Linked DNA regions of Canis lupus familiaris. The protein of the gene in region 2 binds, or shares a complex with, the protein of the main gene of each other region. Links are inferred from orthologs where the notes say so. Each region holds a gene or a part of one and is shown on either strand. Other genes may lie near its edges.

Evidence for each region. The genes of interacting proteins can lie anywhere in the genome.
Region 1: the proteins of CNOT1 (region 2) and CNOT9 are in contact, whole or in part, in a crystal structure (PDB 4CRU), measured with the Homo sapiens proteins. The link is inferred for Canis lupus familiaris from reciprocal best matches to the Homo sapiens genes CNOT1 and CNOT9. Residues at the interface, in NP_057368.3 of Homo sapiens: Ile1415, Ala1416, Thr1418, Thr1419, Gln1422, Ile1423, Lys1426, Asp1427, Phe1428, Met1444, Asn1447, Leu1448, Gly1451, Met1452, Met1454, Ile1455, Arg1458, Glu1459, Tyr1548, Gln1549, Arg1552, Met1553, Pro1554, Gln1556, Ile1557, Leu1559, Val1564, Lys1567, Gln1568, Leu1569; in NP_005435.1 of Homo sapiens: Arg19, Glu20, Tyr23, Ile26, Asn27, Ser30, Ser31, Pro32, Arg35, Pro54, Met55, Trp57, His58, Ser59, Phe60, Gly61, Ile63, Ala64, Ala65, Leu67, Gln68, Val71, Asn72, Tyr74, Pro75, Ser76, Ile77, Asn78, Pro79, Thr81.

The regions. Positions count from the first base shown.
Region 1 is NC_049258.1:25,060,540-25,064,864, forward strand, and holds the start of CNOT9 (CCR4-NOT transcription complex subunit 9), read left to right. Parts: upstream 1-1,358; 5' UTR 1,359-1,763; coding exon 1,764-1,787; intron 1,788-2,108; exon of another isoform or gene 2,109-2,247; intron 2,248-4,325. UniProt on the Homo sapiens protein: Component of the CCR4-NOT complex which is one of the major cellular mRNA deadenylases and is linked to various cellular processes including bulk mRNA degradation, miRNA-mediated repression, translational repression during translational initiation and general transcription regulation.
Region 2 is NC_049223.1:57,306,709-57,311,217, reverse strand, and holds the start of CNOT1 (CCR4-NOT transcription complex subunit 1), read right to left. Parts: upstream 2,988-4,509; 5' UTR 2,839-2,987; exon of another isoform or gene 2,796-2,838; intron 1-2,795.

The DNA of each region.
Region 1 (4,325 bases), on a different chromosome or scaffold from region 2:
CTTTGATGTCACCCGGCTTTACAGCCCTCATTCAACTCTACATTTCAACAGAATTCAACAACTCTTGATTACTTCTTTCATCTCTTTAACCGGAGATTTGACCTCTGTACAGTTATTAAACACCAAGAATCCCTCAGTGCTCCATCCTGGGTCCGTTTTTTCTAGCACTACACTCTCCTTAGGCAATTTCATCCACATGCATAGCTTCAGTTACTATCAACATGGCAGATGACACATATACATGAATTTATACAGCCTGTCCAGAGCTCTCCTTTGAGCTCCAACCCACTACATCCAACTGCCTCCTTGACAGCCTTAGACCTGTCCCCAGTTAAGAGACTTGTCCATACTGCCTACTCCCCCCACCCCCGCCAAAAGGCATTTACAGAGCCGAAATTTTGAAAACGATTACCACAAAACCACTACAAGCCAATTCTCCAGAACACAGGATTTTGTCATCAGTGATCATTTCCTTTCCGTGGATCATGACCTAAAATAGGTAAACCTGACAACCCGATCTGATAGCTAGAAGAGGAGGAGCAACCAAACGCACGACAAAAATACAATCCATGCCTTCCAGTGAGAGACAGACAGGAGAGGGAAGAAGACGAAAAATGGTCAAGAGAGACTATCCAAGGCCTGATGGGTGTGCGGCAACAGAAGTCACCTGAAGAGACAGCAGGCCTTGCTAAGGGGCGGGTGGCGGGCGACGACAGCCCCCAGCGAAAGGGGGCCAGGTTTGGGTTGCGGAGCAAGAGCGTGACAAGGAAGACCAGGTGAAAGGAAAAGGAAAGCCTGGGGGGAAACCCCAGAGGAGTACCTGTGAGGCCCTGGGAGCGCCGAAGGGGTGGGGGTGAGCGGAGCAGCAGCGGGGCGAACTCCAGAAGAGTGAACGCCGAGTGGGCGGACCGCAAGGGGCGGGGGGCGGGGGAGGGGGACCTGGGAAAACGGCTCGGTTGAGAAGCTGGCCGCCGGGCCCACCTTACCTGTGCCTGCGGGTCCGGAGCCCTGCACCGGCCTGCCGGAAGCACAGAGTCCGCGCGGAGGGGGAGGAGCCGAGGGTAAGGAAGGAAGGGACACCGGGCACGGAGGAGAGGGGCCGCTCACTCCCCCTAGTCAGGGAGAGCGGCTGATGGCGGGAACTGTGACCACACGCAAACACGCACGCACGCACGCACACTCGACGCGCCCGGACGAGGCGCGTGCGCGCAAGCCTGCAAGCTCCGCCCTTCCTACGCCTTCGCCCCGCCCCGGCACCGAGCGCCGCCTAGCCGAGAAGGCCCCACCCCCGCGGGGAAGTGGTACGCATGCTCACTCGCCGCTTCACGCACTCTGGTCCTCCCATCCTTTCCCTCCTACACAGCCCGGTCGGGCATGCGCACTACGTGTCCTCCGAGACCGTCCGGCTTTTCCCGCCCTTCCCTGGCCTCCGGAGGAGAGTCAGAGTTCACGCCCCTGTCTGGGGAATACCTGCGCAAAGCCAGAGGCTGCGGGGACTAGTAGGTGGCAGACGTCCTTCTGGCTCAGAATCTTAAGGGGTAAAGGACATACTCTGGGACTCAACTCCGCCGAGAGCCAGGAGGCGGGAAGAGGTGTGTGGGCGGGGTCAGGGGTGAAAGGTCATAGGGCCGCGAAGGGGGCGGAGCGAGCCGGAGGCGGATGGCGGCTGCGGCGGCTCTTCATCTCTGGCGGCAGAGTCACTGAAGCGGGGACGCGGCTGCGGCGCGTCCGGCAGCGGGAGAAGAGCGGCGGCCGCTCCCAACATGCACAGCCTGGCGACGGCTGCGGTGAGTGGCTGGGCGTTCCGGCCTGGGCCCACACCCCCTCCTCAGCCCCGCGTCTCGGCCTGCTCTCGGCGGTCCCCGTGTCGGGCCCGGCGTCCAGCTCCTCCTGCCCCCCGGCTGCGAGGCCCCGGCCCTCCTCCTCGTCGCGCCCGGACCGTGGCGGAGCTGACCCCCCACTTTTCCCTCGGGTCGGCTCTCGCGGCCTCCTGCGCCGCGTATCGCGTTCTTTTCCGGCCCCGGGGCCTGGTCCCGCGCCCGAGCGCCTCCCTCGCGGCCGGGACGGGCCATTCATTGATTCCCTGCGCTGACCAACAGTTTCAGGTGCCGGTTGCGTGCCGGGCGGCGGCGGGGATGACGGGGAATTCCGTGGTCGATCCGACACGGCCCTTGCGCTCGGACCTCATGCCCCGGCACTTTGCAGCGGGAAGGAAATGGCTTCTAGCTCGCCCCACTTGCTTCACAGGTGGAAAATCTGAAAGTGGGAGAAGTGAATAATTACTACGTCTGACTTACGGTTCCCTGCGCTTAAAAGTCCCCCCCCACACACACAGCTCATTTTACCAGGGCGGTCTTTTAACAAGAAAAACGGATCGTGTAATTCACCCGTCTGAAGTAATTTTTTGGCTTTCCATTGCATTTACATAAAATCTAGACTCCTTGCTGGGGCCTACAAGGCCCTCCCTGTGCCATACGGTCCCTACCCACGTTTTGCGGTGTAATCTTACATCACTTGCTCCGTAAGCTCCAGCTACATCGGCTGCCCCTGCTTTTCCACTCGGCTTGCACTTTCTGATCTCTATTCCTGGGATGCTCTTCTTACCACGTACCCACCCCCAGTTGCACATGCCCATACACACCCAAACTGGATCCTCTTCCCTGGGGTCTCTGCCTAAATCTCCTTAAAATAGCCTTCCCTGAGCACTCTTTTTAAATAAGTTCTGTAACCCCCAACTTTTCTCCGTTAAAATATCTTTATCAGCGCTGATCCCAGTTTTGTCATTTCTGTGTTCATTTACTTGTTTGTTGACTGTCTGTCTTGAGGGCAAGGACCGAGATCCTGTGGGTCCTGTTTACATGGTTACCCCAAGTGCCAGGACAGTTCCTGGCACAAAGTAAGGGCTCAATTATTTTGCTGAATGAAAGAGTATAGATGAGGGAGGTGACTACAGAGAGCACACAGCCATAATGGGAAAATGAGATCGTGTGATTGGAGTACACTCTTCTGAATACCAGTTGCCCTTTTCCTGTTTAACTAAGATGAAGTGACTCAAGAGGGGTAGTATACTTAAATTGTATTATCAGGAAAAATGACATAAGTACTAAACAGGGAATCAAAAAAATTACTTTAAATATAAAAAGTGGAAAACTGGTATTGAGTATGACTCAGCTGTAGAAAACATTGCTATCTCCAGGGCCAGTGGCATCTCTGCCTCCTTGTCATCATGTTTCTAAGTGTTCATAACTACTCAGTGGATACCTTTACATCTTTCAGTTAGTTAATTGCGGTTCCTCCAGCTTTGTTGTTTCTTCTCCTAAATTATACATGCAGTTGAGGAAGAAGCAAGTCAGAAGATGAGGCTGCTGTTGGTAGGGGAGGGATAGGTTACACAAAGGATTCTTCTAAGCTTGGTTTGTCCAATTCTCAAAATCTGATTGTGTCTTCTCCAGGCTTTGATACCAAACTACTCTTTTGTCCATGACTCTCCAAACACCATGCTTACTCAACTCCTTTTATTTTTACTTGTTCTATAATGCATCGTTTAAGAGTTATTATTCATTTATTTTGAGAGAGAGGCAGAGGGAGAGAGAGAATCTCAAGCAAACTCCTGCTGAGCATGGAGCCCTACTCAGGGCTCAATCCCACAACCCTGAGATCATGACCTGGGTGGAAATCAAGAGTTGGACTCTTAGCGGACTGAGCCACCCAGGCACCCCAAACTAATGTATCTTCTGAACAGCCATTAAAGCTGTGGTTCATTACTTATAATAAATATTCAATATGTGTTTCTTTAATTAAATTTGCAGTGCTTTACATTGATTTAAAATTTAAGATTTTAGATACATTTTCATCCATCAGTGCTTTTGAGCTCCCACAGAAGCTCTGAGAAGTTCCTTTGTAGCATTCATTCCCTAAACTATTTGATTACTGAGGAAACTGAAGCATTGACAAGTTGAGCCACCACCTCTTTCCCAATCCTTCATGCATTCTATTAGACTAAACTGCCTGTGTTATTCTGATCTGGGTAAAGGGACAGTAATGGTATATGATAACATACAATAGTGCCTGCAATAATCTAAGCCACTTGAGAAGATGTTTTTTTGCTTGATGACAAATTTTGTACTCGTGTGTACCTTTATCTTTTTTAAAATAACAAGTAGAGGGCAGCCCGGGTGACTCAGTGGTTTAGCGCCGCCTTCAGCCAGGGTATGATCTTGGAGACCCAGGATCGAGTCCCACGTCGGGCTCCCTGTATGAAGCCTGCTTCTCCCTCTGCTTATGTCTCTGCCTCTCTCCCTCTGTGTGTCTCTCATGAATAAATA
Region 2 (4,509 bases):
CTTCCAAAAGCTGTACTTTCTTCAAATCTCAACACAAGGTTTCAGATTAAGTCTACGCCTCTAATTACTGACTTCTTAAAGGTGCTTTTCAATTAATGTTTTATTTGCTTTGCTACAGTCTTACAAACATAAGAGTAAAAAGAACAACGCTAAACTATTGTGTATATATAGGGTGCTAAGGGTTTTGAGCCCCTTTTAGCTTTGAAACATGCTTCTTAAAAATTGTGAGCAAACAGAAAAGGAAATGTAGGACTTTGCTATATATAAGGTCTTAAAATAAGACTCGGTGGGATGCCAGTTTGAAATGTCCCAGCAGGAAGTTCAGTTTGGTCAGAGGGCCATTTAAAAATGCTTCAGCTAATATTTTTAAATGACCTGAAAGTTAGTTTTGTACTAATAAAGTATACCAAAGTTCATAAAATACAGCATTTCAAAATGGCAGGCTATTATTTTTGGTCATTCCAGAAGCATAAACATCTTAACAAAAATTAGTGCCTTAAAGAATGTGTGAGGGGATCCCTGGGTGGCTCAGCGGTTGGACTCCAGCCTTTGGCTCAGGGCGTGCGTGATCCTGGAATCCTGGGATGGAGTCCCACATCGGGCTCCCTGCATGAAGCCTGCTCTCCCTCTGCCTGTGTCTCTGCCTCTCTCTCTGTGTCTCTCGTGAATAAATAAATAAAATCTAAGAAGAAGAAAGAAGAAAAAAGAAGAATGTGTGAGCATTTAATTAGAATTATGGACAAATTCCCTTCCACGCACTGAATGCCCAAAATTTTGTTACCTCATGGAATGAAAAAAAAAATTCAAGTTCATCAACTCAGGCTGCTCAAAAAGTTTTTCATAACTACGTATCAGAATCTAACAAAAAACATGCTTAGAGAAAGCAACATGCAATGATGAGATCAGTCTTTAAGCAGGGTCTTGAACAGACAGCATTTCCTCTTGTGTTCATACAGTTATACAGTTTGTTTCTAAACGACATAACCCAAAGTTAAAACGTCACAGTACTTAGCCTGACAAGATTCCATTTTGAAGAGAGTGGGATTTAAACAAGCCTAGTAGAAATTTAGAGATTAGAGGAAAAAAACTAAGCCAGAAACTAATATATTTGACTTAGGAACCAAAAGCATTTCAGTCCCACCAAGATGCCACAAAACCCTGCTTTAAAACCTCTAAGGTTATATCTTAAGCAAGAAAGGGAAACGCTGTCAGTTATTAATGGTCCAGTCTTTGTTCCTTGATTCTAGAGTTAAGTTTCCAATAAAGGTCTTGGGACCAACACTTGTTGAAAAGGGACCAACCCTCTCAACAGGTTTTATCAACATACTACCATTTTAAAGTAAAACTGGATGCCTAAAACTTTATGTATCATCGGCTCATTTTCTGCTAAGACAAGGTAACAATTTGCAGTGTCCCAAAACAAGACTACTTAAACTGTTACCATATATATTAATAGCAAAAATACCACGCTGCCCAGCTTTAGAAGGATAAAGTCAACCTGAGCCACACATTACTAACATATTAAACCCAAATACCCCAACAAAAACAGGCTTGCTCTAAATGTTTGACCTTTCTAATTTTTTCCTTGTCCTCCCCTTTTTTCATATATGTATCCTTATTCCTATCAAACGGATTGTCACGAGGGCCATGATCAGAATTTTTTACCCCCCAAATACTCAATTATAGTTTATTCAAATTACTGGCTGTTAAATCTTCCAAGGCAACAGAATTACAGAGAAAAGGGGAAAGAAGCATCGTTACTCTGCTTACAGGAAGAAAACACTTTTTTTATTAGAGTCCTAAGCAATGGGACATTTGATTGGGTGGCTTCGGGGGGGGGGGGGGAAAGCCTACTTCTCAAAGTTTACTTTAAACACAGCATTTCCAAACCCACAGGTATCAGACATTTTCTTTCTTTTTTTTAAGCTACAAACCTCACTCCTAGCGGGGATAATGATCTGTGTGAGGCTAGCTGGGCAAGTTTTGCAGAGGAACTGGTACCGAATGAGTTATTTTGTGTTTGGCCTCAAGCAACCTCTCTGCTAGAGGTGCAGGAAGGAAGTCTCTCCCCAGCGCCCAGGCCTACAAGCGCTCCGCTCACTGGGGGGACACTTGGGGGGGGGGGGGGGGCCGAGCCGCCTCTACAGCTCAGACTCACCGGCCCGAGTGGGCGACTTCGGAGAGAAGTCGGAGCGCCCCGGCGCGCGACTGGAACAAAACCTGTGGCCAGAAGTAATGAGGAAGTGCTGGCTCCCGCCCGCCCCTCGCACCGGCGGGCACCGAAACACCCGGGGGGTGACAACGTGCTGGGGGCGCAGGGAGCGGGCGGCCGGCTCCGCATCCCCCAGAAAGACCCAGGCGCCTGCAGCCACTCCAGCCACGGACCCTCGCCTCGGGAACTAGGCCTCGGGGGCCGGAGCCCGCTGCACCCCTCCGGAAGCCCGCAGAGAAAGGGGCAGTTGAGGAGCTCGTGGGGTCCGACGAGGGTGCAGCGGGCGCCCAGCGCGGCCCAGCCGCCCCCCCGGCCGCCCCCGCGGCCCCCAGGCCCTGCCGCCTGCCGCCGACCGCCGCGGGGCTCACCCCGCGCTCTGCGCTCCGCTCGCTGAAGCCTCCGCCCCAGCCTCCTCTCTTCAGAGCCCGAAGGCTCCGCCAGCCGTGGAAAGAGCCCGCCGTCTCCCGCCTCCCCACTTCCCGGTCCCGACTGCCCCTCAGCCCGCGGAGCTCCGGGAAACGCTCCCAATGGCCCCTGGACCGCCCCCGTCCCTTCGCCCAGGGGCGCTCGCGCCCCGACGCTGACACCGCCAGCCGGCTGCAGCCGCCGACCCCGGCCCGCCTCACCTCAGGCGGCTCCGGCAGCGCTGGACACAGGAAACTCCTGAGTCCCCGTCTCCGGCTCTCGTCGACCCCCTCTTCGGTTAACTCCGCTTGTTTCTCTACAAAATGGCGCCGGAGGTCGCGCGCTCACGTCGCGGCCTTTCCCCTCCCCGTTCCCATTTCATCATTCGCTGCCCGCCCGAGGAGGGACGGCCCCGGCACCAGCCAATGATGGGCCCCAGCCCGGGGCTCCCGCCCAATCACCGTCAGGTGCCCGCGGATTTAAACCAATCATACACTATCACTTGCAGAAGTCAAGGAAGAAACCAGGCTCCTGCTAGCAACTACCAATCCGGACTCCTACTTCGCGGGCTCGGGCCAATTGCCGCTTCCCCGTCCCTGGGGACGGGAGTCGGGGCCCTCGCGCCTGCGCTCGAGAGGAAGACCAATGGGGAGACGCAGACAACTTCGATTTGGGGCTTCACGGACTTCCCACCGGCCCTCGAGGTCTTCGACCAATCGGAGCCTGGCAGTGCCTCTGAGAAACAATAAATATGGGAGGGGCCCCATAAACCCTCGCCACCCCGCGCGGGAAGTACTTTGAATGAGCGTTAGACACTTTTCCCGACTCTCCTAACCCCTTTCGAAGTGCCGGGTCCGGTATACAGCGGGGCTGCACCCCCCTCCCCTGGCGTCCCTTTGGTAAGAACGCCAGTTACCGGAAAACAAGCCAGGAGCCAGGCTATAACTACGGGCGGGGGGTGGGGCGGGGGGGGCTCTGCGTTCTGGGACGTGTAGTCGTCCCTCTGCCCCGCGCGCCATCCTTGACGCTGAAGTATCGCGTCTTCTTCCGCCACGGACTGCGTCCTAAGGGTGCATTGCATGCTGGGGAATGTAGTCTCCTACCTGGTCCTAGTTTGCCACACGTTTATCAGAACTTTCTCCTTATCTAGTCCTGCCTATTGAAGAAGGGACCCCTTACAGAAAGATGGGAAGCTAAGATTCTCTTTTTGACTTAGCCCTATTAGCAGTATCAGGATACCTATCAGAGAGGTATCAGAAAGGCTCTCATTAGAAAAAGCATAGAAACATACCTTTGCTGCGATTTACCTATATCGGATTGTAAGATTTTATGGTCACCTGTTCCCACACAAAGGTGGGAGGACGGGGAAGGAAGTGATGACTGCTTGGTTTTTCTACCTTTTGGGGGAAAAAAAAAAAAAAAAGACCCTCCTCATCACTCCATCCTGCATCCTGGGCTAGACTCAGTGGCTTGTCTCCCAACCATCTGTCTCATGCTACCTTTTGTGTCTAAAAATACTTTATTTTAAGATATTTATTTATCTGAGAGAGAGCATCACAGTGAGCGACCACAGACGGGATGAGCAGCAGAGGGAGAAACAGAAGGAGAAGCTGATCCAGGACCCCGGGATCACGCCCTGAGCCAAAGGCGGATGCTCAAACACTGAGCCACCCAGGCGTCTCTTTTTAAATTTTTAAAAGAGACAAAGTGAGACCCATAAAGGTCAACTATCTGAAGTCAACTCTGAAATTCTACAACTAGTTCAGGCCTCAAACATAGATCTCCTAAAATAAGTTGAAATAAAACTGAGTTGCCTTTCCCCACTTCAGTCTGTCTTTGCCAGAAAATGGTTTGCTACTTTATATTGAGGCTGTTCCAGGACATTCTTAACC